Arabidopsis thaliana: one gene and its partner. The protein of the gene in region 1 purifies or fractionates together with the protein of each later gene. This does not show direct contact. Each region holds a gene or a part of one and is shown on either strand. Other genes may lie near its edges.

Region 1 (4,318 bases):
AAATTGTATCATTTTCTAATACATTTATATTTTATAGTTTAATTTTATATATAGTAACATTATACATACCACGTAACATTTTTTGTTTTATATAATCTTTTCTAAATTAGGATGATTTGATATATTTAATATTAGTAGTCTTAAAAAATAATAAATTAAAAATTTAATCCGTATTAAAACGGTGGATTAATTAGATTTTACTTTTTTATTAATGTTGATTCAAAAACCCATCCCTCCAAATCCGTCTTGCCAAAAAGCCATTTATTTTATTAATATTAATTTATTTATGATATGACTCTGAATTATAATCTAAACATTTTAGCTAATAACATAGGAGTGCACCATATTTATTTAATAGGAGAATGTACTATATGACCTGAATGCACTTTTACTCAAATCCACCAAAAAAGTCTTGCAAAAATACTATAGACCCGAATGTACCATATTTTTTTATGCTAATTTTTCTGTAATTAAGATTTTAATTGATTTCGTATATAAAATATTAAATTGTTTTACGAACTTATTTGTTTATAATTTGGTAACAGATAGATATTTGAATATTCGGTATATTTTGCTTCAGTTTAGGAAATCTTTGATGACCCGTCTTTAAATCCAATAAGCCCTATAATTAAGAGATGAATATTGTCGTTAAATGATTTTGGTAATCTTAATGATGTCATTAAAAGATTCTATTTTTGATTAAAATTTTCTAATGGTATTGTCATGTAATTAATTACAAAAATTAAGATTACATTTAAAATGTATTTTGTAGGATTTGCCAATATATTCACATTACAATATTATTTTTTTCCATGGTCGATTATTTCTACCCGAAAGAGACGGCAACGCAGCCCACAGTGAGATTGGAGATTAGAGATTCAGTCAACGATGATTAACGTTACTTTTCATAGTTAGTACATAAGAATAGCACGCAGGTTTCGTCGAGGTTTTGGATTTTATATAGTTTGTAAACATGACACGTACTTTGGATAAAACATTATGAAATAGGGAAAGTCATCATGAGTAGTTGGAATAATGAATATATTAAATATTGGTATGATTTGGTCTTGAGTCATTATATCATTACCTGGCTAATGCTATACGTTACCTTATAATGAATTCTAAATGTCTCAATTGCTTTTTGAAAAAGTTGATCACGAACCCGCCGCCTCATATTCATAATTAAAGTTAAATTTTGTTTTTGTCAACATTGATCATAGTTAAATATTTAGACACGTCTATTTTTATTTTCTCCACGTTATACATTTTCTTGACTATTCATGCAACTCTTGTGATCTTGTCTTAGATATAGTCAAGTATTGTGTATACATCATAGGGAATATCCGAATATGTGTGTGTTTGATTAATTAGTGCACACTAGCTCAGATCATCGATTAGTCCGCAACTCGAGTAAACGTGTTTTCAGACCACCCAAAATTTTACGACCTTTGTGTCCCACTATCTACGTCGATAGTAACTTTAGAACAAAAAACTCAAAAAGAGTGTAATTTGTTATGCTTTTGGTCTTCTAAAATTTGTATTCTTCTACCAACATTTAGCACAGTTTCATACATAGAAAGTTCTCATTACTTGGAATTAACATGATAATCCCCCAAAAAAACAAATCAATATCTAACCTAGCAACAATGACGGAAGGAAAATAAATATAATCAAAAACAAACCTACCAAATACTGTTTGTTCCCCATAGCCACACTCCATAGACATAACAAACAATAAACTATGGAAAAAGATAGAATTTGATGTGATAAAACATTCATTAATTGGATCTATATATATCTTTCATGCCTCCACAAAAAGAAAACCATAGAACATTGAACAAAATGAAGACTAATCTTTTTCTCTTTCTCATCTTTTCACTTCTCCTATCATTATCCTCGGCCGAGCAATGTGGTCGCCAAGCTGGAGGAGCACTCTGCCCCAACGGTCTATGCTGCAGCGAGTTCGGCTGGTGCGGTAACACCGAACCATACTGTAAGCAGCCTGGCTGCCAAAGCCAGTGCACTCCCGGTGGTACTCCTCCTGGACCCACCGGCGATCTTTCGGGCATCATTTCAAGTTCTCAGTTCGATGATATGCTTAAGCATAGGAATGATGCCGCTTGTCCTGCTAGAGGTTTCTACACTTACAACGCCTTTATCACCGCTGCAAAGTCCTTCCCCGGTTTTGGCACCACCGGAGACACCGCCACGAGGAAGAAGGAGGTCGCCGCCTTCTTCGGCCAGACTTCCCATGAAACTACAGGTACCCAAAACTCATTAACAATTTGACGGAGATTGTTTCAAAACACAATTGCTAAATTTTGGTGTTTATTATTAAAACATCAGAATTTGAAGTTCTTTTTTTCTTCTGTAAAGAGTTTTGGATCCAAGTGCTCATATATACAAAGAACTACTATACTATATATATATATATATATATATATATATGTTTTATTGAAAAAATTATAGCTTCTCATATTTAGAAACGAAAGAAAAAAATCAAACAAAAACGCCAAACGCAAAGAAAAATGTTTTGGTCTTAGATGTTTGCGTTTACAATTAAAAAACTATTTTAAAAATATGAAATTCTTGATTAATCTAAACGCAAATAACCAATCAAGGAACTTACGAATATTCCAGTTTCCAAATTATACACTTTTGAATAATGTCAAGTTTGTGAGTTGTGACTATATATATAGCTATATACTAATTAATTAAGTGGACGGTTACGTCGTGCAGGTGGATGGGCTACAGCACCAGACGGACCATATTCATGGGGCTACTGTTTCAAGCAAGAACAGAATCCTGCTTCAGACTACTGTGAACCGAGCGCCACGTGGCCATGCGCATCTGGCAAACGCTACTACGGAAGAGGACCAATGCAACTGTCGTGGAACTACAATTACGGTCTATGCGGTAGAGCAATAGGAGTTGACTTACTCAACAACCCTGACCTTGTTGCCAACGACGCAGTGATCGCTTTCAAAGCCGCGATTTGGTTCTGGATGACTGCTCAGCCTCCCAAACCGTCTTGCCATGCCGTGATAGCCGGCCAGTGGCAGCCTTCAGACGCCGACCGTGCCGCCGGGAGATTACCGGGTTATGGAGTGATTACGAACATCATTAACGGTGGATTGGAGTGTGGACGTGGCCAAGACGGGAGAGTCGCCGATCGTATAGGGTTTTATCAGAGGTATTGTAACATATTTGGTGTTAATCCTGGTGGTAATCTTGATTGTTACAACCAAAGATCCTTCGTTAACGGCCTCCTCGAAGCTGCTATTTAGTAACGAGAGTATTATTATTATAATATAATACGCAGCTTTGTATTATCAAAACAATAATATCAGACTAATAAAACTCTTTCCAATGATGTTTCACTGTTTATGTTGCGATTTTATTTCCCATGGGCCTTTTTTAATTGGGCTCTCTAGCAGATGAGAGAAAGACGAAGAAAGGTGCATAGATGTTTTAAACTTCGATTACAAGTAAAGGTGTTTGACAATTTCTGTGTGACTCTGCCGACACGTTTCGTATAACGTGCCGCTATCCTCAGCAACGTTTTCATGTGTAATCCAGATTGGTATGAATTTCTATTTAAAATGTTGGTAGCTTAACCGATTGAGGCCAAATCAAACCAATCTATAACTCGAATCGGTACTCTTTTCTTACAAATGATTCGATTCAATTGGCATCCAATCAAATGTAAACCTTTTTTGTTTTAAATCGTAAGAATATTTTCATAAATCAGAGCCTAAACTTAAAACTGTACCAACAAAACCAACATCAAACCAAATGGACACCTTAATCCGGTACACGGCGAATTAACTGTAGAGGATAAAATCAACAATTCGACGAGTAAAACGAAAAATATCTAAAAATACAGGGCACCGAACCAAATAAAGGTGAGAATGATGAGAAGCCGTTTCTTACTCTTCATTGTTTTCTTCTCTCTATCCCTCTTCATTTCCTCTCTGATCGCCAGTGATTTAGGCTTCTGCAACGAAGAGATGGCTTTAGTCGGAGGTGTTGGCGATGTCCCTGCTAATCAGAACAGTGGTGAGGTTGAGAGCCTCGCTCGTTTCGCTGTCGATGAACACAACAAGAAAGAGGTTCCAAATCTCTCATCATCTTCGATTTTTTCACATCTCTCGTCTCGATATGTGTGTTTTATGCTATTATAGTCTTGATCCAGAACACGATTAGACTAATTTTGTCCGGAGTTTCTCTATTGATCTCAATTTCAGTTACCAGCAGATCTTAGAGAGTGTATATTATTCGGTGATGAAATGCGTTCATGTTGTGGGATTGATTGATT
Region 2 (3,979 bases), on another chromosome or scaffold:
TACATTGGAACTTTTCATATGTAAAATTTTAGGTCTACTAAAGGAATTGTATATTCTGTGGTATATACTTTTACGTCCAATCTTTAATTGATTCATTGGAGACCGATCAATATTAATGTTAAACTCAACTACACCTAAAAGTCAAATTCCTGATGCTAAAATATTTAGTTTCACTAAACGTAATTCTCCCGAAAGCAGCCACGAATCGGTCTACATGATTTTACACACGCAATTAGACATTGAATTGTCTAAGGATATAATATTGTTTATTAGTCAGTTTATCCAACTTTATCAATAATTAATTATAGAAATTTTGACTTGAAAAAGTTAGTGATCTACTAGATTTTGTGTTTCTTCTGTATATTCGCAAACTCAAACCAACACAAGAACAATAAATGAGCTCAGTAGATTCCAATGTAAAATCTTGCAAACAAAAATTAAGATGTTTTCTTTAAGATATTTGCCAAATACTACTATACTGGAACATAAAGTTTTCTTTGTAGTATACGTAATCCAAAATCATAATTTTCTTTTTTCTAAACTTGATTTTCGGAAAATTATCAATCACAAAAATGAAAAAAATTATATTTTTCAATGTGAAAATGTTATTTGGGAGAAAGAATATTTTAATTTTCTAAATAATATATAGCATATTTATTTCAAGCATATAGTAAAAAATACAAGAATGATCTTCATTGTATCGAAGCGAAATTGTTATTTTTACATTAATTGATCGGAAAGAGAAAAATAAGTCCAACTTATACGTGGGTCGACTAACGTAATTATTATTGCATGCCTTATTATAATCCATTAAGTGTTTATGGTAACGTATATATGATCACGTCACACGTACGCATATCTACGTACACCCTCACACACACACACATACAGTAGATACGAGTCTATTAATTCTCCTCGGTGACCATCTTGATCGGGAGCTGGTGGGATCCAGTAGCACCGAGCCTAGACCTTGGACAAAACACGACCCTGTAGTTAGTGTTGGTGCAAGTGAAAGTGCTAGTCGGGTCATCTTGTGGATAGCTGTAAGCGTCAGGGCATCTCTGCTTAAAGAATCTTGAGTACTCAGTATCGCTACATGATCCCTGACCGTTCGTACAACAGTATTGGTTCGTCTGAAATACAGTACACGGGTTGTTGCATCCACCTGGGGCTCTCAACACGTTTGGACATTGTCCGTTTATGTCTGCGGTACATAGTATCCGATGGCAGTTCGAACTAGTTGGGCTGGAGATAGCACGCCAAAATAAGAAAGACAAATCATTATCGAGTCGTGTAAGAACCTAAAACGTTTAGAAGTATGAAATATAATTGTTCTCTTTTTTTATTATCTTTTTTTTTCTTGCATAGTAGAAAAAATGATTTTAACGCTTGTATATTATGTTAAATGTCAAGAGATTTTTACGTTTAGGAGTTCGAATTTATGAATAAAGCAAAAACTAAGTAGAACTTGTGAAACGATAATGGTGATATTCTTACCTAAACTCCATAGGTATGTTAAATCCATCGACAAGTGAGATATCGTAGAAGTCTAAGTTGTTGAATTGGTTCAAAGCGTACTCAGCCAACGTGTTTGGTGGCTGTCCCCAGCCAGTACATTGGAGTCCACCACTGCAGTCACCAGTTTGGCATCGGCCACGACCTGAGGAGTCAAAGTTACAATTGGTCCTACCCCAAATCCGTGCCATTTTAGTGCCCGCCGCGACATCTAGCCTCCATGATTGGCCAGCATCTAGACGTCGGCCACCTCCAGGGCTTGCGGCAGCCCACACGGTGTAACTACATTGGTTTAGGATTTCGAATGTGGCGGCTGTTGCGGTGGAGATGAGCAAAAGTGCGGAAAATATGAAAGTAGAGACCAAGAGGTTTGCCATTTTTTAGTTCTACTACTTTTATGTATGTGTGATCTATTGATAATATTACTATGGATTTTATATAGAGGTAAATGGTTACGTATTAGTTTGATTATTTTATTTTTTAATTAGTATTTGCATTTTTGAAGTTATCTAGATGATGAATGTTAATATGCTTTAATCATTTTAATAGGTTGGGGCGGCTTGACTATGTTTGATGGCTTGCGCTAACTTGCGCATAAGTCTTATTTCTAGATTGGGGTGTAGAATTAGGAGACACTACAAGTGACTTTGCTGTTTTACTATAGTTAAATACTATAAAACAAATCAATATTAATTTTAGATACAACCTTATTAAGTTGTAACTAAGAGAAATACTGAAATAGCTTAAAAAATTCATATTTTAAATGCATGATAAGAAAACTAATTTTGATCAAAAAAAAAAAAGATAACAAAACTTTTGTTAATTTTGATTGAGATTACAAATCAAGATTGAGTGGGATTACGAGCTGAAGTAGATTTGAGATTACGAACTAAAGAACTAAAGTGTCAGATTTGGTAAATGGTATCACACTTAATTTTGGAGTTTCAATTGGATAAGAGAAGCAAAACATTGAAAGAACAAGTTTGAAGATCTTCAATTCACGATCGAGCTGATGGAGAATTTCCTCAAGATTTTGTCTTTCTTTAATCAATTTTGTATCCACATGTAATTTCACAAGTCTTACAGTCTGACTATGTTGCTTCCTTATAATTTAATAAAACATATATAACCACAACTATATCAAGTATTTCATTCGTGCACGAAATAACGATCATGCGTGGTGCACACTAATTTAAGTAATTGTACTATATTAGAGAGATAAATGATGAAATATCGATGTCAATTTTATTATTTTCGTTAAATAGTATAAATATAAGTTTGTTGTTGAAAAAAAAGGATAAATATCATTTGAGATTACCGGGCATTTCTTATTATATAGTCCAAATTTTTTGTAGTTTTTAAGTTTCGATGACTATCATGTATATTGATGTGGACATTTTACTAACTTACTTTTTCAAATTTTTTCTATCGGACATTTACTATTTTTATTTTCTTATCAAAGATATATTTTATATCGTCAACCAATCTAGAAGTATTTATATTTCTAAAACAATTAGAGAAGAGGAAAAAACCCTCTTAGCAAGCCGATCAACAGCTTGATTACAACTCGAACGAACAAAATTCTAATGCAAGTCCTTAATTATAGTGTAGAGAACATCTTGAGACTTGAGTGTATAGAGATCTACTAATTTAAGTTGTAAATACTTGGACCTTGGGACTTCGAAGTTATATCACAAGATTGGTTCAGATGTCCAACAACTGAAAACATGGTGCAGCCCATTGCCCAATTACGAAGGAAAGTAATGGATTTCTTAATTCTTTAGCGAGTAAAATTTTTCACACGTAAGCATAACTTTTACTATTTTATCATTCTTTGTTATTATTTTGTGTTTTGATGGTTTGTATTATGTTTGTATCTTTTGTTTGAAAGTAATATACGTAGATGTTAAAAAAATGAATGTTACGAATTCATAATTTCAACTTCACGTTTTAATTTTGTCCATAAACAACGGCAGTGGCGGAGCCAGAAAAGTTTATTATGGTGGTCAAATATTAGTTTAACATGAGTCATAGGGGTCAGCTGAGATGAATCAAGCCAAAATATACCATTATATACCAATTAAATAAGCATGTAAATAAGAATTTTAAAATGTTATGGGGTCAACTGACCCCCTTGGTTATGAGTTAGCTCCGCCACTGGACAACGGTGTGTAAATAATAATTTATCCTAATACAGAGAGATTAATGTGAACAAAACAACATACTTAACAAATTTATTCATTGATTTTCTTAAAAATAATCATCGTAGTAACCATTGGTATATTCAAAACTTTTTCCAAAAATTTCTTCAACGATGATACTCGTCTTGAAAAATCATGTGACATCTATTGGCACACATACATCCTAGTGGTGCAGCCAAAAGTTTTGTTTACGAGGGTCATAATTATTTTTCTTTAAATAATAAATTATATATTTAAAATATATTTTTTTCAAGATTTTTTAA

Evidence for each region.
Region 2: the proteins of HCHIB (region 1) and OSM34 fractionate together in Arabidopsis thaliana (co-fractionation; one large-scale study listed by BioGRID). This does not show direct contact.

What each region holds. Positions count from the first base shown.
Region 1 is NC_003074.8:3,961,470-3,965,787, reverse strand, and holds HCHIB (basic chitinase), read left to right. Parts: upstream 1-1,803; coding exon 1,804-2,263; intron 2,264-2,629; exon of another isoform or gene 2,630-2,664; intron 2,665-2,739; coding exon 2,740-3,287; 3' UTR 3,288-3,652; downstream 3,653-4,318. Other genes in the region: CYSB (cystatin B), read left to right, coding at 3,912-4,112.
Region 2 is NC_003075.7:7,024,222-7,028,200, forward strand, and holds OSM34 (osmotin 34), read right to left. Parts: upstream 2,004-3,979; 5' UTR 1,893-2,003; coding exon 1,498-1,892; intron 1,246-1,497; coding exon 906-1,245; 3' UTR 631-905; downstream 1-630.